3 linked regions of the Macaca fascicularis genome follow. The protein of the gene in region 3 purifies or fractionates together with the protein of the main gene of each other region. This does not show direct contact. Links are inferred from orthologs where the notes say so. Each region holds a gene or a part of one and is shown on either strand. Other genes may lie near its edges. The genes, in order: CCNB1, GRK2 and PTCH1.

Region 1 (10,914 bases), on a different chromosome or scaffold from region 3:
ATGGTGGCACGTGCCTGTAGTCCCAGCTACTCAGGAGGCTGAGGCAGGAGAATGACGTGAACCTGGGAGCCGGAGCTTGCAGTGAGCCACGGCACACCCCCTGGGTGACACAGCGAGACTGTCTCAAAAAAAAAAGGTATCCTCCAAAGTTAGAACACAACTTTAAAAAGCCCTAAAAAGATGGCAGAAGAAACTCAAAGCAGAAGGCTACTCCTGGCATAGAAGTCTTGCAGAAGAATCCTATAGAAAAAGGAGAGGCCCCAAAGGAGCAGGCAAGAGATGTCAGTGATGACATTAAGACGATGCATTAAAAACAACTGGGGGCTGGGCACGACTGCTCATGCCTGTAATCCCAGCACTTTGGGAGGCCGGGTGGGTGGATCATCTAAGGAGTTTGAGACCAGCCTGGCCGATATGGTGACCTCATTTCTACTAAAAGTACAAAAATTAGCTGGGTGTTGTGGTGGGCACCTGTAATCCCAGCTGCTCAGGAGGCTGAGGCATGAGAATCACTTGACCCGAGAGGCAGAGGTTGCAGTGAGCCGAGATTGCACCACTGCACTCCAGCCTGGGCAACAGAGCAAGACCCTGTCTCAAAAAACCAAAACCAAATAAAAATACAAAAAATTAGCCAGGCATGGTGGTGTGTGCCTGCAATCCCAACTACTCGGCAGACTAAGGCAGGAGAATTACTTGCTTGAACCCAGGAGGCAGATTGCAGTGAGCTGAGACGGCACCATTGCCCTCTAGCCTGGGCGACAGTGTGAGACTCCCTCTAAAAAAAAAAAAAAAAAACACACACACACACACACACACACACCAAAAAACTAGGTAAATGTGATAACGGTATAGTTGACGCTACTATGTTTATGCTGCCATATAGAATACTTGTGTTTGTAGGAAAAGGGCAAATGCCATTAAGAGAAAGTTTCAAAAGTGGGATCAAATTGAAGTGAACCAAAAAGTAGCTTTTGAGTGTACTCCTTTTGGGCACAAATAATTTCACCAACAACTGGACGCACATCAGCCACACTAACACAAAATGCCTTGTGTTAGGGGTGGCTGTAGTCTTTGAGTATATTCTACATTCTCATCCACTTGCTGACCCATTATTACCTAAAATGCAGAGTTTGGGACTTAACCATTCCAAATACGGTGGAGATTGCATATATACATATCAAATTCAATCTGTGGACTTTCCTTCAGAAAGACCGATAGTAGTATCCACCCTGACTTCGAACTTTCCTGCACAAAGTGGCAAATAGACTCCATTGATTTAGTGACTTTTTATTTTAGGTATTCCATGAAGGAGAATTTGAAAGTGCGATCTCTTAAGAAATGCTGCCCAAGTCCTGCTTGAATTATTATGAACTATTGATAGAAAAGACTTTCATAAAGTTAGATGCAGTTTAGAAAAAAAACTAATGATAATACTGACCTCAAGTTGTCTCAGATAAGCATAAATATCTTTCACATATTCACTACAAAGGTTTGGATCGGCTCCATCTTCTGCATCCACATCATTTACTGCAAGAATTACATCAGAGAAAGCCTGACACAGGTCTTCTTCTGCAGGGGCACATCCAGATGTTTCCATTGGGCTTGGAGAGGGAGTATCGACCTTAAAACAAAGAGATCTCTTGAAACAAGAGCAAATAGGAGTAAGCACTATAGTTTGGGCTTGAAGGTCAGGTTATTGGTACCAACTCAAGATAGTGTTCTCCTGAATCAACATACAATTCATTTCCTTAAAGGAAAAGTATCTTTTCATACTTATTCCATTTCTTTTTAGGAAGTGATTAACATCCAAAGTGATCATTTGGGTTGGGCGTGGTGGCTCACGCCTTTAATCTCAGCACTTTGAGAGGCTGAGGTTGAGGCCAGGAGATCAAGACAAGCCTTGGCAATATAGCAAGACCCTGTCTTTGTTAAAAAAGAAAGTGATCATTTAATTACTCAATTAAAAAGAATGAGGTCGGGCATGGTGGCTCAAGCCTGTAATCGCAGTTCTTTGGGTGGCTGAGGTGGGAGGATCCTTTGAGACCATGAGTTCGAGACCAGCCTGGGCAATATAGCAATAACTCATCTCTACAAAAAATTAGCTGGGCATGAAGGCAACTGCCTATAATCCTAGCTACTCAGGAGGCCAAGGTAGGAGGATCACTTGAGCCCAGCAGTTTGAGGATACAGTGAGCTATGATTGCGCCATTCTGCTCCAGCCTGGGCAAAAAAAAAAGAGTGAAATGCCAACTCAGAGTGAGTCAGTTTAAAGTTGGAAGCAAATAAATTCACATTCTAGACTTTCCTGCAAAGGAAACTGAGAAGTAATTAATCTTTATCAGCAACATGTGAAGTTAATCCAAATAAAGGACAGTTCAGTCTTTAGTCTTTATTTCAAAATATAAACTGCTTCTCACTACTCAAAATAACATAAATTCTATCCTGACTACTAAGGATTAACTTCATTACCATTAACCACTTCCTTCAAGCTCCCTTTATCCCATTGTTCAAACATTTATTGAGCCCCTTCTTCAAGTCAAACTCTACAAGGCATTGACTTCATGGCATCCTCAAGGGACTCTGAATTTAGTAGACAAAGTAAAGAAATAAGGTCGGGCGCGGTGGCTCACACTTGTAATCCCAGCACTTTGGGAGGCCCAGGTTGGCGGATCATGAGGTCAGGAGTTTGAGACCAGCCTGGCCAACCTGGTGAAACTCCCTCTCTACTAAAAATAGAAAAAAAAAAAAAAAATTAGCTGGGTGTGGTGGCGGGTGCCTGTAATCCCAACTACTCAGGAGGCTGAGGCAAGAGAACTGCTTGAATCCAGGAGGCGGAGGTTGCAATGAGCCAAGATCACGCCACTGCACTCCAGCCTAGGTGACACAGCAAGACTCCGTCTCGGGAAAAAATAAATAAATAAGTAAAAATAAGACTGAGACTGGGCATGGTGGCTCATGTCTGTAATCCTAGCACTTTGGGAGACTGAGACAGGTGGATCACGAGATCAGGAGTTCGAGACCAGCTTGGCCAACATAGTGAAACCCCGTCTCTACTAAAAATAGAAAAATTAGCCAGGCATGGTGGCACGTGCCTGTAGTCCCAGCTACTTGGGAGGCTGAAGCAGGAGAATCGCTTGAACTCAGGAGGCAGAGGTTGCGGTGAGCTGAGATGGCATCACTGCACTCCAGCCTGGGCAACAGAATGAGACTGTCTCAAAACAAACAAAAAGACTGATTCTAGGAACAGGGGTGGAGATGGGAGAAGTTCAGGAAAGCTTCAGGAGTTGGTGCTTGAGCTGTTTTCAAGGATGAAAAGGTTATTAGCTAAATGAAAGGGTAGGGAAGGCATTCTTACTAAGTGGGAAAGCAAAGGTAAGAATCGGTATGGACCTTTCAAGAAAGCATCATGTAGTTTGATATGCCCAAAGACCATGCTGGCTACATGTTTCATGTGCTATGCCCAGAAATTCAACACTAAAGCAATAGTTTTCAATGTCTTATCCTTAGATATAAGAAGCTTAACTGGCTGGGCGCGGTGGCTCACGCCTGTAATCCCAGCACTTTGGGAGGCCGAGGTAGGCAGATCACGAGGTCAGGAGTTCAAGACCAGCCTGGCCAACATGGTGAAACCTCATCTATACTAAAAATATGAAAATTAGCTGGGTGTGGTGTTGTGCGCCTGTAATCCCAGCTACTAGGGAGGCTGAGGCAGGAAAATTGCTTGAACCTGGGAGGCAGAGGTTGCAGTGAGCCGAGATCACACCACTGCACTCCAGCCTGGGCAACAGAGCCAGACTCTGTCTCAAAAACTTTTTTTTCAGGGCCGGGCGCGGTGGCTCAAGCCTGTAATCCCAGCACTTTGGGAGGCCGAGACCGGCGGATCACGAGGTCAGGAGTTCGAGACCATCCTGGCTAACACGGTGAAACCCTGTCTCTACTAAAAAATACAAGAAACTAGCCGGGCGAGGTGGCGGGCGCCTGTAGTCCCGGCTACTCGGGAGGCTGAGGCAGGAGAATGGCGTAAAAACCCGGGAGGCAGAGCTTGCAGTGAGCTGAGATCCGGCCACTGCACTCCAGCCTGGGCGACACAGCTGAGACTCCGTCTCAAAAAAAAAGAAAAAAAAAAAAAAAAAAAATTTTTTTTTCAGATAATTTTCCCAACTGGTTTTAATTAAGTTTAAAAAACTGAGCTTCAGAATGCAGTTCATTGCAGTTTCATCAAAGCAGCCTCCTCTACATGACCTACTTTTCCTTCACAGGGAGGTCTATCATAGGATACATTTACATACCTTTTATTTAATAAAAAGTTACTGGTTTTGAGGCTAAGTGTTAATTCATCTTTTTTTTTTCTTTTTTTTTTGAGACGGAGTCTGCTCTGTCGCCCAGGCTGGAGTGCAGTGGAGCGATCTCGGCTCACTGCAAGCTCCGCCCCCCGGGTTCACGCCATTCTCCTGCCTCAGCCTCCCGAGTAGCTGGGACTACAGGCGCCCGCCACCACGCCCCGCTAATTTTTGTATTTTTTTTTTAGTAGAGACGGGGTTTCACGGTGTTAGCCAGGATGGTCTCGATCTCCTGACCTTGTGATCCGCCCGCCTCGGCCTCCCAAAGTGCTGGGATTACAGGCTTGAGCCACCGCGCCCGGCCATTAATTCATCTTCTTAACCACTCCCTGAAAAGTTGCATTCTTCCTGTTTTACTCCTTTGCATTTTCCAGTGTTACAGGTTTATTATTTAGTAGCCATATTAGGCAGTAAAAAATTTCAAGAGAACATTCTGTTTACTCCGATAAATTCTGCAGAGGTGGCTTGTACTTGGACAACAAAGCCTTTGGCTCAGGCAGGTACTACTTAATATCATTAACGAAGGAATATAAGACAGTTAACAATTAAAAGCATAGATTCTGAAGCCAGACAGCCTGAGCTTAAATCTCATATGGGCCACTTACCTGTGTGACCCTGACAAAACCTCTCTAAAGCCATGATTTAAATAGCAGAGGTGACAATACCTACCTCAGAGTACCTGTAAAGATTATGTGAGTTAATGCATGTAGAATGTTGGGCAGAGATTGCCTCATGCTAAGCACTCAATAAATGGTATTAATTTGAATGCTCTTGCAGTGAAATAAGGGACAAGAAATAATCAACAGACTCTACAATGGTAAGAATAAGTTTACCAAAATAGGCTCAGGCGAAAGTTTTTCTTCTTTAACAGGCTCAGGTTCTGGCTCAGGTTCTGGCTGTGGCACTGGCTCAGACACTGGCACTGGCACCAGCATAGGTACCTTTTCAAGAGGTTTTGGTAGTTTTTTATCAATAACTTTTCCAGTAGCTGAAGGTTTTACTTCCTGTAGATGAAACAGAGAGAATGAAATGTTTCTGCATCAAAGGCCACAGTTGTAAGGCCAGCTCTGACAGAAGTTAGGTTGGGAAGACAGTTACCTTCTTCATAGGCATTTTGGCCTGCAGTTGTTCACTGACTTTGTTACCAATGTCCCCAAGAGCTGTTCTTGGCCTCAATCCGGGCTTGGAGGTTGCAGCAGGGGCCGTAGGAACGCGCTTTGCGCCTGCCATGCTGATCTTCGCCTTATTTTCAGCATTAATTTTCGAGTTCTGAAAGAAGCAAAGACCACTTTAAGAGCTGGTCCACGGAGGCTCGAGTAAGTCAAGGGTTAATTAAGGTGGGGCACAAGAGAAGTTCCCAGAAGGAAAGCCGAGTAAAAATGGGTTCCGAGGGAAAACGTGGGTCCCAGAGTCTACTCTGCGGCCGTGACAAGTCAGTTTCCGCCGACAACCTCTACATTTACCAATTGAGGGATTCCCTGATTAGTCCTGCCCAGCCCTAAAATACCGAGAATTTACGTTTGAAAGGAAACCGAAAAAGCCTCCAATTGCAGACACCTTCTCTCTGGGAAGGGGGTTACAGAGCTGCTGGCGGGCCCACTCAGGGACCCTCTATCACTTTTTCAAAAGGTTCCCAGTCGACTTTCCATCTCCCCCAAACATTTATCCAATATCGGTCCAGTTCTCTTTCTCACCTTCCTCCCTCCATCCATCGTCCCCCACACTCCCCCACCAGGCCTGGGCCCACCTCGACGCTCTCTTGGTGACTTCCCTCCCACCTTCCTCCCCAAATCGTTCCTGCGGCCCTCTCCCGCTCGGGGGGCTCCCGCAGGCGAGGCAGAGCGAGCAGGCTGCAGCGAAGAAGGCCGCGTCAGTTCGCAGTCCGTAGCGGCTCACCCTGGTGACTCGGAGCGCCATGGCTTCCTCTTCACCAGGCAGCAGCTCAGCGGGGAGAAGCAGAACACCAGAGCCCCGACCAGCCGAGGACCTGCACCCAGCAGAGACCAACAGCCGTTCCTCCGCAGCACGCCGGGAAGAGCAGGCCCAGCCTCAGGTTTAAACCCCGCACTGCTCCCTCCTTATTGGCCTGTTCGTGGCACTCACTCCCTTCCCATTGGCGGCTGCCTGTCCCGGAGAATGCGTTTCCAGGGCGATCCCGCGAAGGCGTTCGAGAGGGGCGGGGCCAGAGTGAGGCTAGGTCGGAAGGCGTGGCCAGGCTCTCCTGTGGTCTGCCTCCGCGCCTGCGCTCTGGGGCAGCTGCCGCGGCCACCTGGAGAGCCGAGCAGCGCGAGCACCGCCCACCTGGAAAGGTGAGCCGGGCAAGAGTGTGCGCTGCCAATATCAGCTCAGGAAAGGCCTGGTGACCTTTGGAAGGTGACAGTGGCGCGGCCACAGTCTCAGAAGTGTCAAAAGTAGTTTTGGATCTAGTCCAAATTATTGTACACTTTCCATTTCTACGGTAGCAGCAATAATATAGTTCATGAAAGGCTTTGATATACGTTCTTTCATTTGATCGTTGCAACAACTCTCTGGGGTGGAGGAACTGAAGCTCAGCGCCTTAGATGACTTTGCCAGGATCACACATTAGCAACGGGGGAACAGAATTTAGGGGTTTTTTTTTGAGGGGGAGGGAGGGGGCGTATTCGTGTTTTCACAATACTGATTGTCCCTTAACAATATTACTTGATTACTTCAAGATTGGCCAGTTTCCCAAGGCCAATTGTTTTGTGTGTTTTAGCTTCCTATTTGGAAATAATTTCATACTTGCACCAGTTGCCAACAAAAATCTTGTAAGGAACATTTCTGTACCCTTTACCCAGATTCAACTATCCTTAACATGTATTTGCCTCTCATGGGAAGATCAAGAAAAACTAAACAAAAAGACATTTTACACCATTTGCTTTGTTATTTGCTCAATCTCTCTCGGGATCCAAAGAAAAATAAGAGGGTTCTTTTTGCCTTCTACTCCTCAAAACACACCAGGAGCTCAACAATTGGAGGGGAGGCTGAAGGACAAAAACATTGATACCTCATAGAGCAACGGTATAAGAGCCAATAGAGACTGCTGGCCCTGGAAGTCAAGGATCCGAAAGAAGGCGCCCAATCATTTGGTTTCATTCGATCGTTATTCAGTCTTCTATCATCATAGTTCTACCCTCCTACTCGGATGCCTACCGTGGGGCCCTTACCATTGCTCTCCTCTGCCTGGAATGCCCGCCTCTTGTTGCACTCAAGCCCCTGTTCTATTCAGGTAATTCCCATTCATCTTTCAGTTCTGTGTTCAGCATCCATCCTCAGTCTTTCTGGGTTTGATCAATCCTGCCTCGCCCCATGCAAGGGCGAGAGGCAAGGGGTGAGGCAGGATTACTTATCCTCTGTGTTCCAGTTAAAAAAATTTTTTTTTACTTTTTTTTTTTTTTTTTTTTTTTTTTTGAGACGGAGCCTGTATCTGTCGCCCAGGCTGGAGTGCAGTGGTGCGATCTCGACTCACTGCAACCTCCGCCTCCTGGGTTCACTCCATTCTCCTGCCTAGTGGCTGGGACTACAGGCGCCTGCCACAACGCCCGGCTAATTTTTTGTGTTTTTGGTAGAGACAGGGTTTCACCGGGTTAGCCAGGATGGTCTCGATCTCCTGATCTCGTGATCCGCCTGCCTCGGCCTCCCAAAGTGCTGGGATTACAGGCATGAGCCACTGCGCCCGGCCGAGTGGACATAAGGTTTAAACTCATTTGGGTGAATACCAAGGAGCAAGACTGTTGGATCATATAGTAAGAGTATGGTTACTTTTGTAAGAAACCGCCAAACTGTCTTCCAAAGCTGCTGTACCATTTTGCATTTCCATCAGCAATCCTCACAAGCATTTGGTGTTGTCAGTTTTTAAAAAAAATTGTAGCCATCCTAATAGGTATGTAGTGGTAACTCATTGTATTTTGATTTGCAATTCTCTAATGACATATGATGTTGAGTATCTTTTTCTGTGATTATCATCTGTATAACTTCTTTGGTGAGGTATCTGTTCAGGTATTTTGCCCAGTTTTTGTTTTGTTTTGTTTTCTGAGATAGGGTCTCACTCTGTTACCCAGGCTGGAATGCACTGGTGTGATCATAGCTCACTGTAACCTCAAACTCCTGAGCTCAGGCAATTCTGCCTCAGCTTCCCAAGTAGCTAGAACTATAGGTGTGAGCCACCATGCCCAGCTAATTTTTTTATTTTTTATTTTTTGTAGAGATGGGTTCTCACTATGTTTCCAAGGCTCATCTCAAACTATTGGTCTCACAAAGCACTGGGAATATATATATATACATGTATATATGTGTCTATATATATGTATATATGTGTGTGTGTGCATGTGTGTGTATGTATATATACACATTTTTTTTTTTTTTTGAAATGGAGTCTCGCTCTGTTGCCCAGGCTAGAGTGCAGTGGCTCGATCTCGGCTCACTGCAACCTCTGCCTCCCAGGTTCAAGTGATTCTCCTGCCTCAGCCTCCCAAGTAAGTGGGACTGTAGGTGCCCGTCACCACACCTGGCTAATTTTTGTATTTTTAGTAGAGACAGGGTTTCACCATATTGGCCAGGCTGGTCTCGAACTCCTGACCTTGTGATCTACCCGCCTTGGCCTCCCAAAGTGCTGGGATTACAGGCGTGAGCCACCACGCCCGGCTGCACTGGGAATATTAAAGGCATGAGCCACCTCTCCCAGCCTTTGCCCAGTTTTATTTTTGTTTTGAGACAGGGTCTTTATTACCCAGCCAGGGTGCAGGGGCACAAACATGGCTTACTGCAATCTTAACCTCTGGGTTCACTAGAGCCACTGCACCTGGCCTCAGACTAATATTCTTCTTTTTATTTATTTTTTTTGTTTGTTTTTTCTTTTTTTCTTCTTTTGTTGTTTTTATTTTTTGGGGGGGGGGTACTAATATTCTTAATGGTACATTTTGTCATGTTTATTTTTAATTTTTATGCATACATAATGGTTGTATATATTTATGGGGTACATGTTATATTTTGATACAAGCATGCAATGTGTAATGATCAAATCAGAGTAATTGGGATATTTATCTCCTCAAACATTTATCATTTATTTGTGTTGGAAACATTCCAACTCCACTCTTCTAGTTATTCTGAAATATACAGACTGGGTGCGGTGGTTCATGCCTGTAATCCCAGCACTTTGGGAGGCCAAAGCAGGAGTATCATTTGAGCCCAGGGGTCCAAGATCAGCCTGGGCAACCTGGCAAACCCCATCTCTACAAAAAATACAAAAATTAGCTGGGATTGGTGGTGTGTACCTGTAATCCTAGTTACTCAGGAGGCTGAGGTGCGAGGATTGCTTGAGTCTAGGAGGTTGAGGCTGCAGTAAGCTGAGATCATACCACTGCACTCCAACCAGGGTGACAGAGCAAGACCTTGTCTCAAAAAAAAAAAAATTAAAGAAAGGCCGAGCGTGGTGGCTCATGCCTTTAATCCCAGCACTTTGGGAGGCCAAGGTGGGAGGATTGCTTGAGTTCAGGAGTTTGAGACCAGCCTGGCCAACATGGTGAAACCCCATCTCTACAAAATACACAAAAATTAGCCAGGCATGGTGGCACAAACCTGTAATTCCTGTTACTCAGGAGGCTGAGGCAGGAGAATCGCTTGAACCTGGGAGGCAGAGGTTGCAGTGATTCGAGATTGCGCCACTGCACTCCAGCCTGGGTGACAGAGCAGACTCTGTCTCAAAAAAAAAAGAAAAAAAAAAAAAAGGAAATATATACAATAAATTATTGTTAATTATAGTCACCCTAGGCCAGATCTAGGCTACCGAACTCTAGATCTTATTCCTTCTAATTGTATTTTTGTGCCCATTCACTGTGATCTTTTTTTAAAAAAGGTTTTAAATTTTTGGCCGGGCGCGGTGGCTCAAGCCTGTAATCCCAGCACTTTGGGAGGCCGAGACGGGCGGATCACGAGGTCAGGAGATCGAGACCATCCTGGCTAACACAGTGAAACCCCGTCTCTACTAAAAAATACAAAAAACTAGCTGAGCGAGGTGGCGGGCGCCTGTAGTCCCAGCTAGTCGGGAGGCTGAGGCAGGAGAATGGCATGAACCCGGGAGGCGGAGCTTGCAGTGAGCTGAGATCTGGCCCCTGCACTTCAGCCTGGGTGACAGTGCGAGACTCCGTCTCAAAAATAAATAAATAAATAAATAAATAAAAGTTTTAAATTTTTTTTATTATACTTCAAGTTCTAGGGTACATGTGCATAATGTGTAGGTTTGTTACATAGGTATACATGTGCTATGTTGGTTTGCTACACCCATCAACTTGTCATTTACATTAGGTATTTTTCCTAATGCTATCCTTCCTCCAGCCTGCTACCCCTCCAACAGGCCCGGGTGTGTGATGTTCCCCTCCCTGTGTCCATGTGTTCTCATTGTTCAGTTCCCGCCTATGAGTGAGACTGTGCAGTGTTTGGTTTTCTGTTCTTATGACAGTTTGCTGAGAATGATGGTTTACAGCTTCATCCATGTCCCTGCAAAGGACATGAACTCATCCTTTTTTATGGCTGCATAATATTCCATGGTGAGTTT
Region 2 (10,341 bases), on a different chromosome or scaffold from region 3:
GTTGGCCGGCTGTGGAGGAAGCCCAGTGAGCTGCCCAGGGCACTCAGGATGGGGCCCGGCCAGGCAAGATGCCAGCTGGGGCACTGCTTCACTGGAGAGGACGATGGCTCCCCAAGGAAAGGGCAAAGGTGGGGTCCTCTCTCTTGTCCCCAGCCACAACCTGGACCCAGAGAGTAGCTCGGTGGGAAGGGCAGGGGCGGAGATGGGAAGACAAGGGGTGGCCATGTCCCAGGAGCCTCACTCCTCTGGGCCTGGTGGCCGGGATGCTGAGAGGAAGGAGAGGACAGCTACGGAGGCCCAGCCTAGGGACAGCAAGGCGCTCACCTTCAGGTCCCGGTAGACCACGAAGCGGTTGTGCATGTGCTCCAGGCCCAGGATGATCTCGGCCGCATAGAAGCGCATGTCAGCCTCTGAGAAGACCCCGTGCTGGGACAGGTGGTAGTGCAGGTCCCCACCTGAGGGAGGCAGCCCCACAGGCAGCATTCAGCATCTTGCCCCAGCCTGCCGTGCCTGGGCCCAGACCACCCTGGGGCAGGGCCAGCACTCACCATTCATGAGGTCCAGGATGAAGCTGAGCTTGTCTGGTGTGTGGAACGCGTACGACATGCAGACGATGAATGGGCAGTCCTGGGAGGGGAGAAATGAGGGGAGGGGCAGTCAGCAGGGGTGCCCGGGGTTCCAGAGCCTCAGCGGCAGCCCAGCCCACCCCACTCACCCCGGTGCTGACGAGTGAGAGCATGATGCGCTCGTTCAGGGCCAGGGTCTCCCCCTGCTTCATCTTGATGCGCTTTTTGTCCAGGCACTTCATGGCGTACCTGCAGAGCAGAGGTCGGCAATCAACACCTGGGAGCAGGGGCCCAGGGCTGCCTCTGAGGGCGCTTGAGGGAAAGACTAGACCCAGGACCAGCCTGTGACACAAATAAGAGACAGGGAGGGCTGGGGCCAGAGGAGCCTGCAGGGGTAACAGCATGGCAAGACAGGAGTGCATGGGGCAGCAGGTAGCCCTGTGAAGAACCCAGCCCATCAGGGCCCCCAGGAGCCCGGCTCCCCCAGACATTCCCCCACGCCGAGCAGGGTGCTCACATCTTGCCTGTGTCGGCCTTCCGGCACCCATAGACCTCGCCGAAGCCCCCGCGCCCGATGATGCGATGCACGCTGAAGTCATTCATGGTCAGCTGAGGGGCAGTGACAGCTGCGGTCACCACAGGCTGCCTTGGCCCAGTCCTGGGGCAGAGGCACCTGGGCAGCAGGGGCTGGCCCCATGCCAGGGTCCCCATACCCATGTCCTGGCCATCCTCGCCACACACTTACCTGCTCCAGCCTCCCCATGCCAGGATCCCGGCCCTGACCCCCGCAGCCACGGCCCTGGGGGCTAAAGGACAGATACCCCCTGACCTCCCCACTCCCAGCCAAGCCTCAGGCCCAGCTCCCCGGAGAGGAGCAGCAGGGTGCACAGCTTTCCATGCCCCACCCAGGCCCACTCACGTGGATGTTGAGCTCCACATTCTTCCACTGGCAAAACCGTGTGAACTTATCACTGGAAGAGAAGAATCTGGGCTCAGGGGCCACTCAGAATGTGGGAAGGATGATGCTGTTGTGAGCCTGCCCCACCCAGCAGCCACTCCCTGGGGTCCCGTGAGGGTAGATGTGGAAACATCACGAGCTTTAATGTCCTCTTCCAGGAATGATATGTTGAGGGCCTGCCCACCCACAGTGCCAGCCAGGGCTGCTTGGGTACCCAGCTCGGCCCTCGGCCACCTGGCTGTGGCTTCCTGCTGGAATCAGATCCACACAGAGACGAGGTCTTCCAGTTTAACCCAGACCTTCTGCTACCATATCCTTGACAAGTGCATCTCCCATCCCTGCTTGCATACCTTCAGTGACACAGAGCTCACTCCATGGCTGGGCAGCAGTGACCCTAAAAAAGCTGCTCCCTAAAGCTAGCTGAAATCTGCCTACAATTCCCACCCACCGCACCAACTCTGGCTGTGAGGGTCACGGGGGCTATGTGCTCTCCCGGGCCCACCCCTACCACGACCCTGATGCTTCTCAGCCCGGGTGGGCCAGCAAGGTGCTATACAGCCCATGGGAAAGAGGCACAGGTGGCGCGGCTCTCCTAGGTCCCTGGAGCTCCCTGGAGCTAGGAGACTGCCTGGGATGGGCTTTGAGCTGCCTGGTGCTGAGGATGGCAGCGTGGGAGAAGATGACCTGCAGCCTGTCTGACCTCTCAGGAGTCCTTGCAAGGGGGCCACTGATGGGCCAGCCACCTGCCTGCTCAGGGCCTAATGAAGGCTGGCTTCTGCCCTCCACACCAGCCACACCCTTTTGAGAGCGGCTTCTCCCTCCCCATTCCTCTCCTACACTGCCCCGCTCTCACCTCTCGATGAATTTCTGGAACACGTCCCCACGGAGGTTCTGACAAATCTCTTCAATGTATGGCTAAGGGAGGAAGCTGGAAGTTGGTGACTGAGCCCCGAGACCATGGCTGCCCAGGCCCCACCCCTAGCTGACCAGGCTCGTTGACCCGGGGCTGTCCAAGGTGACTTCGCCTGGGCAGGGATCGGGAGGCACACACCTGGAAGAGATCTGGAGGCACCTGCTTCTTCCCCAGGTGGCCTTGGACATGCTCAGTGGCACTCTTGGAGAAGGGCTGGGGAAGACAGAGGTGGCCATGAATTCTCTGCAGGGTCCTCTTTTCCCCTCCCAATCTGCAGGTGACTCTGGGCCAGCACACAGGGCCAGCCGAGGACACTCACGTGCGAGCAGGCCAGCAGCTCCTTCATGATGTATGAGTCGAAGATCTCCCGGCTGCGCGCCACACGCTCCTCCTCTGTCTCCAGCTTCTCATACTTCTTGATCTGGAGGACAGGATTCCTGCAGGTCATCTATAGCCCAGCAGGGAATGGGGGTGCCCACACCAGGTGGCTTGTGGATTCCACAAAGCTGCCCCAACCTCCTTCCCTTTCTCCGGGCAGAGCAGGGCCCGGGCCTCTGGGCCTCACCTCCTCGTAGAACTCCACCAAGGGCCTGGCCTCCTCCAGGTGGTTCAGGCAGAAGTCTCGGAAGAGCAGGTACCCTGAAGGCAACAGTGTAAGGTCACAGAGCCATGCCTCCGAGGCCTTCCCATCATTGCAGATGGTGTGAGTTGAGCTCCCTGGGCAGAACTGGCTATGGAGATGGCAAAGGTGGTCTCGGCCCCAGGCAAGGGGTGGGCCAGGCAGCCACTAAGGCTGCTGCCAACTTGAAGACACCTGGATTCTGGGTCAGGGCCCCTATGTTTCTACCCTCTTCCTGAAATCTGTTTCCCCAGGTGGCAGCTGGACGGCGATGGGTGAGGCAGAAGAGAGGTGTTAGCTCTGGCATCAGGGAGCCCTGGCTTGGCACCTGGGCCCCCACTCACTGCAGCCCAGGACCCTGTGCCTGCTCTGTGAGGCCGATACCCCGCACCGGGGCGGGCTGTGCAGGTGCAACGCGATCCAGTCTGGGGGCCCTGGGATGCTGTGGCCACCAGGGCCAGTTCAGCCTGCAGCATGGGGGGGAGGTTAGCAGGGGGCTCTGAGAGGCCACACCACTCCTCTGGACCCTGCCCCACTGCATTGTCTGGCTTATCTGCACAGTGGCCTGAGAAACAGGCAGGAAGGATGGGTCCAGTTGGAGAAACTAGGGCTCAAGGAGCTGGTCAGACACACTGCCTGTGGCAGAGGCTCAAGCGGAACTCAGGACTACTCTACCAAGTGGCAAGTCCCTGGGAAAGAGGTTGGGGGCTGGGGCCTCAGGGCAGGGGGCATGGAAGGGGTATGGGCCACAGGGAACTGGAAAGGCAAGGTGGGCTGTGGGAGGGGCTCTCAGAGGACCCCAGATAGAGTGCCCTCATGCCTGAGTAAGGGGCCTGGGCCTGGGCCCAGGGACCTGGCCCCCGAGCACTACCCGGGGACAGAGGCCCTTCTCAGGCCTCCAGTCTGACACGGGTGAGCCGGCTCAAGCTGGCAGCCTCCCATGCCTTCGGGGACACCGCATGGGCACCTGGGTCAGAGCTGTGGCCATCACTTCAGTCCTCACTGCCTGGCCTTTAGTGCAGGGCTTTTGAGGAATGGGGACCAGGCTTCACAGTGGGCACAGTGCTCTCATCTGACTGTGACAGGCCTGTGCAGTGGGACTCATGAGTCCCATCTCCCAGGTGAGGACACCAGCAGACTCAGAGAGGTGAAGCAACTTGCCCGAGGGCACATGGCACAGGCCTGGGACCCAAACTTTGTGCTTCCTGACACACCGACTCCCCCAGGCTGACGTCCAGTGCCTGATCCCATCAGGCCAGGATGCCCCCTGTCCAGAGCTGAGCTCCTATTCTCAGGAAGGCCAAATCAGAGCCATGTGGGGCTGGAGCCTGTTTCCCGAGACCTGCCCCAAGCCTGCCCTCCAGGCCAGGTCCACAGGGTGGGTCGCATGAAACTTCTGACAGCAGGCATCAGACACCAGCTGGAGGAGGAATGGAGGGCCAGCGCCAGGCAGGTTGCTTACAAAGAGGGCCCATGGGGTGGGGCGGGGCCAACCACAGCTCGGCAGGCGCCACAGGAAGGGCCCCGCCTCTTCCTGTCAGTTCTACCAACGGCCCAGAGCAGCTGCGGCCGCGCCAAGGGGAAGCTGCAACTCTCAAAAACAAAAACCCCAAAGGAGGAACTTCCCTGGCGGCCCTGGAAGACTCTGGGCCCCCACCCCCACCACGGGGCTCCCTGGGCCGATGGGCAGGGGCTAGGAGACACACAGGGTCACAGAGACTTGGAGCAAACCCTGGGGTCTCGCTGGCTGCTCCACCCTGAGTAGATGGGAGGCCAAATCTCCAGAGAGTGGGGAGCACGGCTGGGCTGACTGGGGTAGGGGCAAGAAGTGAAGCCTGGTGGCTGGCAGAGCCACTGCCATACTCACCCAGCTTCTGGGAAAAGATCTTCTCAAAGGTCACCTCGCCTCGGTCCTCCAGGTACTTCTGCATGACACTGCGGATGCTGTAGGACAGGGGAGTGCAGTAAGCAGAAGCTCCCAGAGCCTGTCGGGGCTGCAGGCCCAGAACTGTGAGCGGAGGGCACTGCTGGTGGTGTCGCCACTCCCTCCAGGAAGGAGGCCACCATGTCGGGCATACTCACTCACCCCAGCCACAGGTCAAACCAGACGGCTTCCAGGAAGCCTTTCCCTGCACTGCCCCCGCCAGGTTGTGTCCCAAAGGCCAGGGTGGCCGGCAGGTGGCCCCCTGCTTAGAGGCCCACTGCCTGTGGGGTTTGGTCCCAGTGCTGCAACCGGCTGGCTTTGGGCACTTGGCCAAGTCACAAAAGGCAAACCTGGTTTGTGAGCAGATGAAAAGACACACATGTGGCATCTCCACACAGGGGCACATGGCTCGGCGGTAAAAAGGAATGAGGCACTGACAGGGGCCACAACGCGGATAAGCCTTGAAAACATGAGGCTGAACGAAGCCAGTCACAAAGGGTTGCCACATACTGTGGGAGTCCACTCACATGAACAAACCCACGGACACAGAATGCAGATCTGCGGCTGCTGGGGACTGGAGAGAGGGAGAGGAGTGACTGCCGGTGGGGATGCGGTTTCTTTTTGGGGTAAGGGTTGCACAACATGGTGAATATACTAAAAAACACTAAATTGTATAATAAAATGATGAATTTTGTATGAACTGCATCTCAATGTTTTAAATGGTAAGAAAAGGCCATGTCTTGGTCGTGTGTCCCTAGTACTTGGATATAAAATGTGACCCCTGCCCTGGGTTGCTTGGTATGGCCGTAGGGGAGGGACTGGCCACTGTGACCCCCAAAACCCAACCTGACACCCCCCACCCTGTTTATCTCACCCCCACAATGAGTGCTGTCTGGGAGAGCCACAACAGGCTACACTCCTGGCCTCAAATACCACCTTACTATCCCCTCCTGCCCTCTCCTGGTCCATCTCCAGCCCAGCCCTGCCAGTCTGTCCCGATGGCCAGCTGAGGCCTGCATCTGGTCCTCAGTAGTCTGGGCTCCTAGGGTAACGTGTAGCTGCCATACTGAGGGCATGTGCGGGGCTGGGGGACTGTAGGGCCAACAACCTGAGCCCATGTCATGCTCACATGGCCCTGCAGGATCTATGGGGCCGCCAGCAGGCCTCCTGGGAAAAGACTGCAGCTGGTGGAGATTTGGATCTGCAAGTCCAGATTCTCTGTGCTTGGCACAGCCCCTGCCTCTCTGCACCCCAGCCCTGCCTGCCCCTAGGAGCCCAGTCCAGGGCTGGTCGGACTGGCCACCCAGGCTGTGGTCACGAAGACCTGCTGCACATCTACCCCTGAGGCACTGTGTACATCATGCCAAAGCCACCCCCTGCTCCAAGCAGCCCTGCCCAGGGCATGGTTCTGAGCCTGTGATACCAGACATCGTGTGCAGAAGCCTTGGGAAGGGGAGGAGGCCTCTGGGTCTGGGGAGGCTCTGTGCAGAAGGCGGAACTCCCCTGGGTTCCTGGAGTGCAAGCAGGATCTCGGCAGGTGGCGAAGCCAGGGAGGTCGGTAGACATGGGAACAGGCAGGGGACAGTATGTCCAGGGATAAGCAAGAGGCCAACAGGGCAGGGGAGAGGGCACACAAAGGCCATGGCAAGGGGGAGGGCAGGGCCTTGCAAACTGGGGGGCTTCAGAGCCAAGGAGTGGGTGGGAGAGCAGGACTCAGGAGGCTCGGTCCAGGGCAGCAGCAGCCCAACTCCACTGGAGGCGCTACGGGGAGGAAGCCCAGGCAGAGGCAACACTTGGGCAGGAAGAAGGGGAAGAGGGTGGGTGGGAGAAGGCTCAGGCTGTCGGGGACCAGGAGAAGGGTTATGAGTCCAGCCCCATGAGGGCTTCCAGGCTTTGGGCCCGAGGGTCTGGAAGAACAGTGGCTCCAGCCAGAAGAGCTGTCTGCGGAGAGCAGCTCCAGGCAGCACTGACCTGGCCTGTGGACCCTGCCTGGCCACTGGCCTCAGGCTCGAGAGGGGGGCCCCTATCCGTTTCCGCTGGGCACTGTCCTTCTGGGAAGGGCTGCAGTGGACTCCCGGGCCTCGGCCCCTGATCTCACTTGGTTCGAGCCTTCCTCAGGAAAGGCCGAGCAAGATAGCACGATAGCACGTGCACAGCAGGGTTGCCATGAGCACAGTCCCAAGGCCGTGACCCCCTCGCCTGCTCCCCACCCTCAGAGGCTGGGAGGGGCTGTGGCCTCTTCCAAAGTTGTCTCCAACAGGAAGCAGGGCACTGAAGACAAGGATGGGCCTAAGTGACCCTGAGTTCGCATCCTATGACTCCTTCAGAACAGACCCTGCCTGGATGGGAAAAGGGTCAATGCCCCACCACCGGGGAGTCAGGATGCTCTCTGAGAACTGGCAGGAGTTCCGAGGATGGGCCCCCCGTCCAGGCCAGCACACCCACCGCTTCAGGACACATGCCAGCTCATGTCCACCAGCCACTGTCAAGGACATCTTTCCCTGCACGTGGGACTCCCAGGGACACAGGAAACGGTGGACGGAGACTGTGGTGTTTCACACACAGCAGGGGCTTCATAAAAATCTCTTTAACTGAGAAAGACACAGTCCCTGCACTCAGCACTTGCAGACAGGAGGCCTGGGCCCTGGGCGGCCCTTGAGGCACAGGTTACGCACTGGGAGACCAGAGCGTGGAGAAAATCCCAAGGCCAGGGGCCTGCATCTCACCTGGGAGGTGGGCCGGGAAGGCGGGACTCTGGTTCTGCACCAGATTTTTGAGTTCTGGGACATTCTGGTCCACAGAAGAGGATGAAAAAAAGCAAAAAAAAAAAAAAAAAACCACACAAAATGCCAGTCTTCCGAAATGCCTGTCTTCTGGGGCAGTGGAGGGTCAAATGAGTATGATCAGGTGCTGGTCAAGCGGAAGGCAGCGACAGGCAGATGCAGATGACAGGCAAAGCAATTCTAGCCTGTAGGGGTCACCCACCAGGAGCTGGGCATGGTCCTGGGAATGGGGGCCACGGGGCTTCAGCAGTAAGCCCCACTGAGCCCCAGACTTGCTTCCTAGGAGCCTGCAAAAATGGTGCCAGCTTGGCAGGGGGCAGTAGCTCATGCCTGTAATCCCAGCACTTTGGGAGGCCGAGGCAGGTGAATCATGAGGTCAAGAGTTCAAGACCAGTCTGACCAACATGGTGAAACCCTATCTCTACTAAAAATACAAAAATTAGCCAGGCGTGGTGGTGTGCGCCTGTAGTCCCAGCTACTCAGGAGGCTGAGGCAGAGGAATCACCTGAACCCTGGAGACGGAGGCTGCAGTGAGCCAAGATTGCGTCACTGCACTCCAGCCTGGGTGACAGAGAGACTGTCTCAAAAAAAAAAAAAAAAAAAAATGGTGCCAGCTTGGCAGAGGGAATGGCCACCTAGAAGCCAGGGAGTAGCCACTGCCACTTCTCAACTGGACATACAAAATCTCCAAGGGGGAAGCATGCTCGCTTCCCTGCCTGCGACAGCCAGGGGAACCTGCCGGGTAGGCCCTTTCTCCTTCCCAGGGGCTCTGCTGTCGGTCCCCGCCTGGGAACAGCAGGAAGCAGGACCTGGGGCTCTGAGGCCATCTCTCCCCTCAGCAGCCACGCCTGGGCATGGCCACCGCATTCTTCCCAGCCCACAGCACTCCACTTTCTTCCTTAAAAAGAAAAAAATGTTTTTTAAATAAAATAAACAACCCCCCTCCCCCCAGCAAGAAACCAAACACGAGGTCAGGCCTGAGCACAGTCCTTGAATGGAAGGCCCCCAAAGTGGCAATTTTAGGGTTTCCTGTCTATTCCCATGGGTCTGGCTGCCAAGGGAACTGGCAGGTTGGAAGAACTTGCCACTGGGGGCAGCTCCTGCCAGGGTGGCAAGCACAGGCGGGCATGGGGGCGGTGCAGCCTCCTGGGTTGGGTCACCTTGTCTCCAACACCGCTCCCTGATACTGGCAGAGTCTGGAGTGGCAGTGAGCCCAGAGCGTGTCCCTGCCCCCACCCAGGTCAGCAACCCTGAGATCCAGGGGAACGTGGCTCCCAAGATCTACTCTGGAGCATCAGGAGAACCAAGTGGCCTCAACAGTCCCAGACGGAAGGACCCTAAGGATCCCAACACTTTTGAGCAAGGGCCTTGATCTTTGCTCTGGCCGCTGGATGGGTGCCTGGGTTCCAAATGGCCCTTACCATCTGGTCACAAAGTTGAAATGTCCAGTTTCCCCACTTGTAAAATGAGGATGTCAATGAGATGCTGAATCGCCACCATCACACTGGCCATTTGCAAAGCCTGGGCGGACACGGCAGAAGGGGGGCTCCTAAGATGCCAGGCTGGCCGTGCTGCCCACCGTGCCCTGCCTGCTGGGCCATGGGAGAGAGCCGCCAGAGCCCTGTTCCTCAGCGCCCCACGGCTCACGGACAGTCCGTGCTGGATCACACAGTGGCCGGTCTTGCCCGACCCTCTGTTCCACATTTGCTGTGTTCTTGGAGGATGGGGCCTTGGTGGATGGGGCCTGTGGCCAGGGCTGAGCTGAGCAGGGTGGTTGGGACTCCCCTGCTCACAGACCAGCTTCAGGCACTGCATCGCTCTACTGTGGGCCCAGTGGGTAGAGCCTGCAGCCTGCCCTGCCAAAGCATCAAGGGCTCCTTGGCACAGAGGTGCTTGGTGCCTGCTCAGCCTTGGGAAGGAGTGGTCAGTCCCACCTTGGCACCCCTGCAGCTAGGGCAGCCCGCACCAGCTCCCGCTGCTCCTGGAGCAGGCCCAGCCCAACGCTGGGGGCAGAAGACAAGTGAGCAGCTGCAGCACTGAGCGCTGGGTGACAGGGAAGGAGTGGGTGCTGAGGGAGCACTTCCGGTCCCTTCTGGCACCTCATGGTTCAGAAGAAATGCAAAGTCCAGGCCATGCTCTGTGGCCTGGGCTCTCTCAGGTGGCTCCTGCTCGGGGTCAGAAGCTGCAGCTGTGTGGACGGGAGGGAGTGACAAGTCAGAGGCCAACACACTCTTGCTGATGGTGAGGAAACCAAGGCTGGAGGAAGCTGGCTGGGCCACGTGCTCCAAGGCCCACAGTGAGTTAGTGTCAAAGAAAATGTCCAAAGGCTGCCTGAGAAATGGCCTCCCACCACAGCACCCTCCATCCTCCCCTTGATCCCTGTGAAAGAGCTGGGTGCAGGGCTCAGAGGACCCTGACATGTGCCCAGCCTCTGGCCTGGAGGCCCTCCCGCCCCTGACCAGGGGCTGCAGGAGGCGGGCAGCCCCCTTCCCTGGAACCCAGGATGAGAGGCAGCCTTGGCCGGCAGCTGGCAGCCAGGAGCCATGGTTCCTGTGCCTGTCGTGCGACAGTGATGCTA
Region 3 (10,341 bases):
CCCAAGTAGAACTCCCAACCCCAGCAGCTCAGGAAACCACAGCTTTTGAACAAGCTGTACATGTATGGCTTGGACACGGCTAGTAAGAAGGGAGAAGGGTTTATTTCATTTCAGGACATGCCTTGGATGACTTCAAAGGCTTCAAAAAAAAATCTGGTTGCGTTAGTGCTCAGAATGGTTAAGCTCTTGGGGTCTGAAGTGGGGGGAGGAGGGGGAGCACAGGCCCCCTTCCGTCTCTCTGAGAAGTGAAACCCTCCTTCTGACACGACTGGCTAGAGGAACAATTTGGGGATGACAGTAACGAAAGGAGGCCATGTCGGGTTGAACGTGGAGGGGAGACGGGACAGGAGACCACCGGGTGGGCCGCGTACCTCTCAGACACACGGTTTTCATAGGGAGGCATGCACACACACAGCACCGAGCAGATGTTATGTTATTACTGAAAGCCCTTTCTTCCTGCTTTTGAAAAAAAGTGAACAGGAGAAGAAAAATTACTGCTCCTCCTTTCCCCTCAAAAAGGGAGACCTCATCTGTTTTCCTCGCCGTAACAGTTTTCATGACCTCACAGCGCGTCCTGGGCTTTAAGCCCCTCTCCCTTAACCGGCTAATCCTGAAGACAGGCTCACGCTTGGTGAGTGTGGGGCAGCGCTGGGCATCACAGCAACCAAGGGACAGCCCCGTTACAGTTAGTCACTCCGGCTTCACACATGGAGGAACTGAGGCTTGGAGAGGGGAGCCCGGAGAAGGCCACGCAGCAGGTGAGCGTTGGACGGAACTCAAACCCAGGCAGCAAGTCAGCAGAGGCAGACGGAGCCACTCACTGGCCTACAGTGCCGGGACACACTGTGGTACCCAAAGATGTGTCAAAGGCAGGAGTAAGACAAGCAGATTCAACTCCAGCATCAACAACATCTGGTGGCAAACAGGGTCCCCAAAATCTGAGGGCGGTTTTACGATATTCACACACAAAGACTTCTGGGACACCCGAGGGTGAAACAAAGGAAGAAAGAACCTATTTGGGGAAGCCAGCCTTGTTGGAAACTGGATTCAACTCAGAATCTACACTGCTGGTCCCTTAGGTGCCATTCACTGTACCAGGGGTTCAAAGATGAATACGAAACAGTGATCGACTTTATGGAACAGTTAAGTTCTTTCCCCATTACTACAGTATTTTCTGATGAATCACCAAAAAGCTCAAGTAACAATGGGCTGGCCTAAGCACATGTACAAGGTACGACCCTGGACACAAAACAAGGGATAAGGTTGGGTTTCCACTGCCCCTTATCCAGTGCTTCATATTCTAACGCACGCACACTCTAGAAAACTGTGACATTTTACTTATTTTACAGCAAATCTTAACATGTCAGCTAGAAGTTCTCCCCTTATGAATACCTTGTGCTAGTAATTATTTTCTAGTGTAAAGTTCTGGCCTAAAGGAGTAACCCCGATTGCCCATTTTCCTTCAGCTATGGAACCCCAGAAGTAAAATGTTAATCACAATTTTGTTTGCATAATCCAGTGTGAAATAAAAAGGAACACATTTGCACAAGATTTGAGGCATGATTTTGATCTGACTCCGCCTTGTTTGCATGTGTTTTAAGATGTGACATGTAGGGCAGTTTTGAAATTAACCATTATATAGTTTTAGGAATAAAACAAATCAAAGATAAACTTTTGGAATGTTGATAAAGACCAATGAAATAACATGGTTTTAACGGGAATTCCATTAAAAACCAATGAGGCTCCCCCCATTTAAAAACCACACAAAAATGTTAGCAAGGAAAGCTGACTCAAGGCTAATTGTTTCCTTGGAGAAAATATTCAAAGACCACATCAACCACTCAACAGGCCTGAAGAACGTGTAGGCAGCAAAGGGCTCCCGGGTCTGGTCATTCTGTGTTGAGTGCTCTAGTGGACCCTGTAAGAGTCAGTCATGGAGTCCCAGGGCTGCCTGAGACCCTGACTGCTCAGCAGCAATGGATCTCACTTGGTCTAGGTGTATGCCGTTCACATAGCAATCAAAACATGATTCCAATGCACCTTAAAAAAGAAATCTCAAGTCCAGCTGCTTTACATCTATAAAGGAAGAAATGTATAGAGATGATCTACAATGCTCTATAAAAAGGTTAACCCCCTGCACGGCCTTAAGACAATCCCCCTTTACCCCCTTCCCGATCCTTGCCTAGCATGCCACACTGAGCCTCCAGAGCAGTGGCCAAAGACACTGAAATACCCTCTACAGTAACCCTCCTCTGCTCAGAGACTGGCAGGGCACAGCAGATCTCTTTGTTATCTGTGGCAAGTTATTTGCATGTCTTTGGTCAATGCAGGGAAAATGAAAAGCAGGGACTCTCTCCACTGTCTCTCTTTTAACTCATTATCCCGAAAACCATTGCTTTCTAAACTAAATGTGAAAAATAAAGCTTGGAACAAATTCACGTTTGTCTCAGGAGGCTGTTAATAGATAATAATCATGGCATGTTCTCTTTACCTTCCTCCAAAAGGAAAGTCAAACTGGGTATACATGTAGGCAGAAAGTTCTGGTAAACACAAGTCAAGGCCAGAAGCTAGCTGTATGGAACCTCCACCAACCTCAAGTTGTTGACCATTTCCGGCAAACTCTCAGGGAAACTGGCTGCCGAGTCTCTACGTACAAGTGTATTCACTTCAGACCAAAAAAGGCACTTACATCTGTGTCTAAACAAGCCTAATTAAGTGGGACATTAAGACAATCATTTGGATTAATCTAAGCCAAAAAATGTTGGGGGCCATAATGATTTGGTACTCCAGTAAAAGCGTTTTTGCTTGAATTGGGTGGATAATTATCCTGATTCTCTACTTGGCTTTGCATGTGTCAACGCAGAATAAATGAACAGATGTTCTTGGAATCACTGCATACATTTCTATGCAGTTGGTCAGGAGAAAATTTAGACTTTTTTTTCCCCTCCAGCTGATGAATATTTCCTAGAAACATTTCTAAGAGCAAAGAAACCAATAAAGGCACTTTATTATTTATTTATTTTTTGAGATGGAGTCTTGCTCTTGTCGCCCAGGCTGGAGTGCAATGGTGCAATCTAGGCTCACTGCAACCTCCACCTCCCAGGTTCAAGTGATTCTCCTGCCTCAGTCTCCTGAGCAGCTGGGATTACAGGCACCCACCACCACGCCCAGCTAATTTTTGTATTTTTAGTAGAGATGGGGTTTCACCATGTTGGCCGGGCTGGTCTCGAACTCCTGACCTCAGGTGATCTGCCCACCTTGGCATCCCAAAGTGCTGGGATTTACAGGTGTGAGCCACTGCACCCCACGAAGAAGGGCATTTTAAAGCAGAATTTGATTATTTATAAAATAGTGTGAAATGTGATTAAACATTTATAACTTTACTTTATGTACCAAATCACGAAATGGTCAAAATGAACCCAGCCGTAAAGTATGGAGCCTGGGTAACAGTGTGCAGGTTCGTCAGCTGTAACAAATGCAGCCCCTGCTGCAGGACGTTTATAGTGGGGGGCTGTGTATGGGTGAGGAAGGAGGACATGGGCCATCTCGGCACCTTCTGCTCAATTTTCCTGAAAACCTGAAACTGCTCTAAAAACAAAGTCAATTAGAAATAGACAAATAAGGCCGGGCGCGGTGGCTCAAGCCTGTAATCCCAGCACTTTGGGAGGCCGAGACGGGCGGATCACGAGGTCAGGAGATCGAGACCATCCTGGCTAACACGATGAAACCCCGTCTCTACTAAGAAATACAAAAAACTAGGCGGGCGAGGTGGCGGGCGCCTGTAGTCCCAGCTACTCGGGAGGCTGAGGCAGGAGAATGGCGTAAACCCGGGAGGCGGAGCTTGCAGTGAGCTGAGATCCGGCCACTGCGCTCCAGCCCCGGCGACAGAGCGAGACTCCGTCTCAAAAAAAAAAAAAAAAAAAAAAGAAATAGACAAATAACTTCTTAAAGGACGGTCAAAATACGGAGTTTAAGACTATGTCCACTGCTTATCTAGCATCTCCTGGTACAGTAAGCTATAATTTGGCAATCAGTCTGGAAATCCCAGCCACACTTTGATTTCATGTGGTCACCAAACTAGCCACCATCTATCCAAGAGGAAAGCACCAGAAGCCTCAGCTCCACCTGTTACATGCTCCCCTTTTCCTAACGTGCATCTGTACATTCCCACAGCAGCTCGTCTGAATTATCTGCATCATTTTACAGGGAAAACCCAGAGCTGGGAGGCTGCTGCAGAAACAGTCCAGGTAAGACTCTTGAGCAACTCTTAAAAGTCCATGAAACACGTCAGTGTTACATTCTAATCTAACACTTTCATAATCAGGACAAAGGAACCTGTTGAAGCTGAACATGCAAAAGAGCAAAAGGACGAAAGCCCTCCCACGGCCTTACCTTGAAGCCAGTCTCTGAAGTAGTGCAGCCACATTTTGGGAAGCTGTTTGTTTTCTTCCAACATGACATACTTCACGTTACTGAAACTCCTGTGAAGGTCGTAAAGTAAGTGCTGGATATTCGGGTAGTCTGCTTTCTGGGTGACTATATACATGTTGTAGAAAGAAAAGTATTTGAACTGTGCAGCAATAAAGTCATATTCTCTGGTTTCCCGAGGTACAATGTCCGTAAGGTCCAGCCCGTCTCTCACTCGGGTAGTCCCATAAAGGCTGACCCCCAGCAAGCCCAGAAAAAGGAAGATCACCACCACCTGGAACAGAAGAGGTACAAGGTCAGACAGATCCCAGGGAGCACCACTGACTCTGCCTGGACAAAGAGAAGCTGTCTAGTTAATACCTTGTTTGCACCACCACACTTGACCTGATTTAGCTTGTAGGGGTTGTTCTCCCATAGAAAAAGTATAAAATCACAGTAATCGCATTTTTGTTATTCATATATATATATATATTTGTGTGTGTGTGTGTGAGAGAGAGAGAGAGAGTCTTGTGTTGCCCAGGCTAGAGTGCAGTGGTGCCATCTCGGCTCACTGTAACCTCCACCTCCCAGGTTCAAGCAATTCTCGTGCCTCAGCCTCCTGAGTAGCTGAGATTACAGGTGTGCACTACCATGCCTGGCTATTTTTTTTTTGTATTTTTAGTAGAGATGTGGATTCACCATGTTGGCCAGGCTGGTCTTGAACTCCTGACCTCAGGTGATCCACCTGCCTCGGCCTCCCAAAGTGCTGGGATTGCAGGCGTGAGCCACCACGCCCAGCCTTGTTTTGTTATTTATCTGAGTTGGGATCTCACTCTGTTTCCCAGGATGGAGTGCAGTGGCATGATCAGGGTTCACTGTTGCCTCCAACTCCTGGGCTCAAGTGATCCTCCTGTCTCAGCTGCCCAAGTAGCTAGGACTACAGGTACACAGCACCATGCCTTTTTTTTTCTCTCTCTCTCTTTTGAGACAGGGTCTTACTCTCTCACCCAGGCTGGAATGAAGTGGTGCCATCAGGGTTCACTGTAGCCTTGAATCCCCGGGCTCAGTGATCTTCCCACCTCAGCCTCCTAAGCAGCTGGGACTATAGGCACAGCACCATGCCCTGGCAATTTTTTGTAGAGATGGAGTTTCACCACGTTGCCTGGGCTGGTCTCGAACTCCTGGGTTCAAGCAATCCGCTGGCCTTGGCCTCCGAGAATGCTGGGATTAGGGGCGTGAGCCACACCTGTCCCTGGCTAATTTTTAAAATATTTTGTAAAGACAGGGTCGTCCTTTGTTGCCCAAGGCTGTTCTCGAACTCCTGGCTCAAGCAATCCTCCCACCTCAGCCTCCCAAAGCGCTGGGATAACAGGCATGAGCCACCGCACCTGGCAATAATCACATTTTTAAACAACCTCATTCATAAAAAGATTCGCTGCATGGTGGTTCACTCCCACGGAAGATAACCTCATTAAAATGGCCCTGTGCTCTAAAAGCGTTGACTTTTGGAGGACTGAAATATATCATACTTATATGAATTTTTTTAAGGAAAAAGAAGAAAAGTAGAAGCAATCTGATGAGCTCCAAAGGTTCTGTTATTTTTTTGAAGACAGGAAGAGTCTTAAGTTGTGGTAGATTACCTTGGCTTTTGGTTTCAAGAGGAAAGGAGCATAGTGCTTCTCAGCAAAAGATGAGAGCGTCCACTTGGTACAGGGGGGCTCGAGGCAGTGGAGGCTGGAGTCGGAGAACTGGGAGAGCAGGTCCCTTGTGGAGCTGGTGCTCTCCGGGCTCTGGCAGCTGAGGGTGTCCTGCGTCACGGTGACGGGCTGCACGGAGATCTCGGAGCGCGGCTCGGCGGTGGTGTAGTACACGTGTGTGTGGGGGTCGTACTCCGTGCGGAGCTGGACAGTGGACTGCATGGTAATCTGCGTTTCATGGGCAAAGCTGTGGCTGCTGTAGGGGGGTGGGGGGCTGTAGCGGGTATTGTCGCGCGTGTCGGTGTAGGCCTGAGGTTCAACCTGAATCACTCTGCTGACGCAGGGGCTGAAAGGAGGGAAGCACGATGCAATGTTATGCTGAAAGAGGGTAACGGTGCTTTCATTCTGCCATTTTCACTGCGGACGGGGAACCCATTTTACACAGCCCTGACTTGGGAAGAGAAACGTTACACTGCTGAGCTCCAGAAACATGGCCTGGCTGATAACATCATTGCCTGGTGAACTAGATAAAAGTCAGTCTGAGGAGGCCACGTGGAGAACTGATCCTAAATTTGCCTTCCAAAAGCAAGTTCCATCATGACCAATCCTTCAAAGCATAATTCCAAACAAAATCAAACCACCAAAGGACTACACATCTTCTAGAGGGTGGTCTTCAATCTTGTTCTGCTCTAACGCGGAGATATGAAGCGCTCCCACAATTGGCAACATCAGTTCATGATGGGCAAAGGGGTCATCGGTACCAGCATCCCGAGGGCTGTGAGACTGTTCAGCTGGGGCAGGGGAGAAGGAAGCCCAGGAGACTCTGATGCCCCCCTAGGGAGGCAGCCTCTGTCCAATCTCTCCCCTGTCTCCTCCACGCCAGCACAAACCCTGTCACCCACATGCCTAAGTCCACAGCTGAAAGAGTTCTCTCACTGCACAATTCTGCACCCAACCAAAAGGCCACAGCGGTCTGAAAACGTACCTTGTAAAACAGCAGAAAATATCCAGTCTCCTGTCCTCGCGTCGATATAAATCCATGCTGAGAATGGCAGGAAAGATGAGCAGAACCATGGCAAAATTGAACACCACTACTACCGCCGCCTGGGAACAGAGAAGAAATTCAGAGGTCACCAACACGCCTCCGCCCACTCAGAGGTCACCAACACGCGGCCTCCGCCCAATCAGAGGTCACCAACACACCCCCGCCCAGAGGTCACCAACACGCCTCCGCCCAGAGGTCACCAATACCCCTCCGCCCACTCAGAGGTCACCAACACGCCTCCGCCCAGTCAGGGGTCACCAACACGCCTCCGCCCAGTCAGGGGTCACCAACACGCCTCCGCCCAGTCAGGGGTCACCAACACGCGGCTTCCGCCCAGTCAGGGGTCACCAACACGCGGCCTCCGCCCAGTCAGGGGTCACCAACACGCGGCCTCCGCCCAGTCAGGGGTCACCAACACGCGGCCTCCGCCCAGTCAGGGGTCACCAACACGCCTCCGCCCAGTCAGGGGTCACCAACACGCGGCCTCCGCCCAGTCAGGGGTCACCAACACGCGGCCTCCGCCCAGTCAGGGGTCACCAACACGCCTCCGCCCACTCAGGGGTCACCAATACCCCTCCGCCCAATCAGAGGTCACCAACACGCGGCCTCCGCCCAATCAGAGGTCACCAACACGCGGCCTCCGCCCAATCAGAGGTCACCAACACGCCCCCGCCCAGAGGTCACCAACACGCCCCCGCCCAATCAGAGATCACCAACACGCCCCCACCCAGAGGTCACCAACACGCCCCCGCCCAATCAGAGGTCATCAACACGCCCCCACCCAGAGGTCACCAACACGCCCCCACCCAGAGGTCACCAACACGCCCCCGCCCAGAGGTCACCAACACGCCCCCGCCCAGTCAGAGGTCACCAACATGCCCCCGCCCAGTCAGAGGTCACCAACACGCCCCCGCCCAGTCAGAGGTCACCAACACCCCTCCGCCCAATCAGAGGTCACCAACACGCCTCCGCCCAATCAGAGGTCACCAACACGCCTCCGCCCACTCAGAGGTCACCAACACGCGGCCTCCGCCCACTCAGAGGTCACCAACACGCGGCCTCCGCCCACTCAGAGGTCACCAACACGCGGCCTCCGCCCAGAGGTCACCAACATGCCCCCGCCCAGTCAGGGGTCACCAACACGCCCCCGCCCAGTCAGGGGTCACCAACACGCCTCCGCCCAATCAGAGGTCACCAACATGCCTCCGCCCAGTCAGGGGTCACCAGTACCCCTCCGCCCAGTCAGGGGTCACCAACAGCCTCCGCCCAGTCAGGGGTCACCAGTACCCCTCCACCCAGTCAGGGGTCACCAACACGCCTCTGCCCAATCAGAGGTCACCAACATGCCTCCGCCCAGTCAGGGGTCACCAGTACCCCTCCGCCCAGTCAGGGGTCACCAACACGCCCCCGCCCAGTCAGGGGTCACCAGTACCCCTCCGCCCAGTCAGGGGTCACCAGTACCCCTCCACCCAATCAGAGGTCACCAATACGCCTCCGCTCAGAGGTCACCAATACCCCTCCACCCAATCAGAGGTCACCAATACCCCTCCGCCCAATCAGAGGTCACCAATACGCCTCCGCCCAATCAGAGGACCGCTTCGAAAATAAAGATGCTTTTAAACAGTATTTTTCTTTCCCTTTCCTCTTGACGTGTTTGAAACTATGACAGATGTTAAGAGGTTCTTTTGCTACATCATCAAGAGCCGATGTGACAAGCATAGTCTTGACTATTTCTGGGCCTTTCTATCTCTAATAATTCCATGAACCGGAAAGGCACACCTGGGAACTAAACTACTAACGTGTTGCGGTAACCTAACCAAACCGAATCCACAAAGGCGGAACAGAGAGCACGCTCCAGACAGAATGTAAAACAAACAGAAGCATTTCCCTTCCAGAATGCTTCCAAGAGGTCACGCGACCCTGATTTTACAGTTAAACATTTTTATATAAAGTGGATCGAGTATATCAAAATGTCCCCCTTTAAAACAGGAAATACCATTTCGCACGTGTCCCCTGAGGTTTTCATAGGCAAATTCCAAACAGCCTCTGGAGTAGCCAGTGGGGTGTGAGAGCAAGAAACAGAGAAGGCCAAGGAGAGTTAAGCAGAAAGAAATTCCTGTGTGTGATTATAGTAGGCAGAAAGATTCAAAAGTCACTCTATAACCTAGAATAAACACAGGGCTAGATTCTGCAGTGTGTTGGCAAATCTCCTGCTGACCTAGTAAATATTACAAAATTGGGCTGTTAATAGAGGAAGCCAACAGAGGCCAGTGGAAAGTCGACCTAGCTTGGAAGGGCACGGCAGAGGGGGCACCACAGAGAAACGCACTGGCGACGCTGAGGAGCCAGGACATTGACAGACATGGCTTTGAAAATAAAAAACGAGGCCAGGCACGGTGGCTCGCCTGTTATCCCAACACTTTGGGAGGCCTAGGCGGGTGGATCATGAGGTCAGGAGATCGAGACCATCCCCACTAACATGGTGAAACCCCGTCTCTACTAAAACACACACACAAAAATTAGCTGAGCGTGGTGGCGGGCGCCTGTAGTCCCAGCTAGTCGGGGGGCTGAGGCAGGAGAATCACTTGAACCTGGGAGGTAGATGTTGCAGTGAGCCAAGATTGCACCACCGCACTCCAGCCTGGGTGACAGAGCGAGACTCTGTCTCAAAAAAAAAAGAAAATAAAAAACGAGGCTTCTCAAAAGAACTGCTTAGTTCACAAACCTCAAATTGATAAATGTCCTAGGGTAAGGAAAGAACACCTGGCTGTAACTGGCACCTAACACAATTGAGGGAGAACTCCCACAAAGGGCTTTGGATGGGAATTGTGAGTTTATGCTCAACGTAAACCAGCAAGCCTGAGTTCTGGAGAGATGTCTCCTAATAATTAATTCCCTGTCAAGAGTCTTCTAAAAACGACCTAACCTCTTTCTTCTTGGTCTATCTTGAAAATCCTTCATCAATTGAAAAATATGAAGCGTGTTAGCTTACCACTCTCGTGTATGTAAGACCTGTCGGATAGGCCTACACAAATAAGCTCATCACCACTGTGACAGGAGAATTCACCTGAGAGAGAGATCTTTTAAAAAGAAAAATCCAGTACTGTGCTGGGTGCTGAAGACACAAAGATAAGAAAAATCCTACTCTCAATTCTCACAGAGCAAGACCTATACGCAAATGACAATCCCAAA

What was found.
Region 1: the proteins of PTCH1 (region 3) and CCNB1 purify together in Homo sapiens (affinity purification with western blotting; 3 studies listed by BioGRID and IntAct, with this or other methods). This does not show direct contact. The link is inferred for Macaca fascicularis from reciprocal best matches to the Homo sapiens genes PTCH1 and CCNB1.
Region 2: the proteins of PTCH1 (region 3) and GRK2 purify together in Homo sapiens (affinity purification with western blotting; 3 studies listed by BioGRID and IntAct, with this or other methods). This does not show direct contact. The link is inferred for Macaca fascicularis from reciprocal best matches to the Homo sapiens genes PTCH1 and GRK2.

Annotation. Positions count from the first base shown.
Region 1 is NC_088380.1:74,825,364-74,836,277, reverse strand, and holds the start of CCNB1 (G2/mitotic-specific cyclin-B1), read right to left. Parts: upstream 6,371-10,914; 5' UTR 6,258-6,370; coding exon 6,237-6,257; intron 5,610-6,236; coding exon 5,439-5,609; intron 5,345-5,438; coding exon 5,174-5,344; intron 1,622-5,173; coding exon 1,439-1,621; intron 1-1,438. UniProt on the Homo sapiens protein: Essential for the control of the cell cycle at the G2/M (mitosis) transition.
Region 2 is NC_088388.1:7,095,271-7,105,611, forward strand, and holds part of GRK2 (beta-adrenergic receptor kinase 1), read right to left. Parts: intron 5,001-10,341; coding exon 4,924-5,000; intron 3,077-4,923; coding exon 3,003-3,076; intron 2,859-3,002; coding exon 2,757-2,858; intron 2,651-2,756; coding exon 2,576-2,650; intron 2,440-2,575; coding exon 2,378-2,439; intron 1,538-2,377; coding exon 1,486-1,537; intron 1,176-1,485; coding exon 1,084-1,175; intron 816-1,083; coding exon 716-815; intron 628-715; coding exon 549-627; intron 456-548; coding exon 325-455; intron 10-324; coding exon 1-9. UniProt on the Homo sapiens protein: Specifically phosphorylates the agonist-occupied form of the beta-adrenergic and closely related receptors, probably inducing a desensitization of them. Key regulator of LPAR1 signaling.
Region 3 is NC_088389.1:127,585,059-127,595,399, reverse strand, and holds part of PTCH1 (protein patched homolog 1), read right to left. Parts: intron 7,209-10,341; coding exon 7,090-7,208; intron 6,451-7,089; coding exon 6,048-6,450; intron 4,703-6,047; coding exon 4,393-4,702; intron 1-4,392.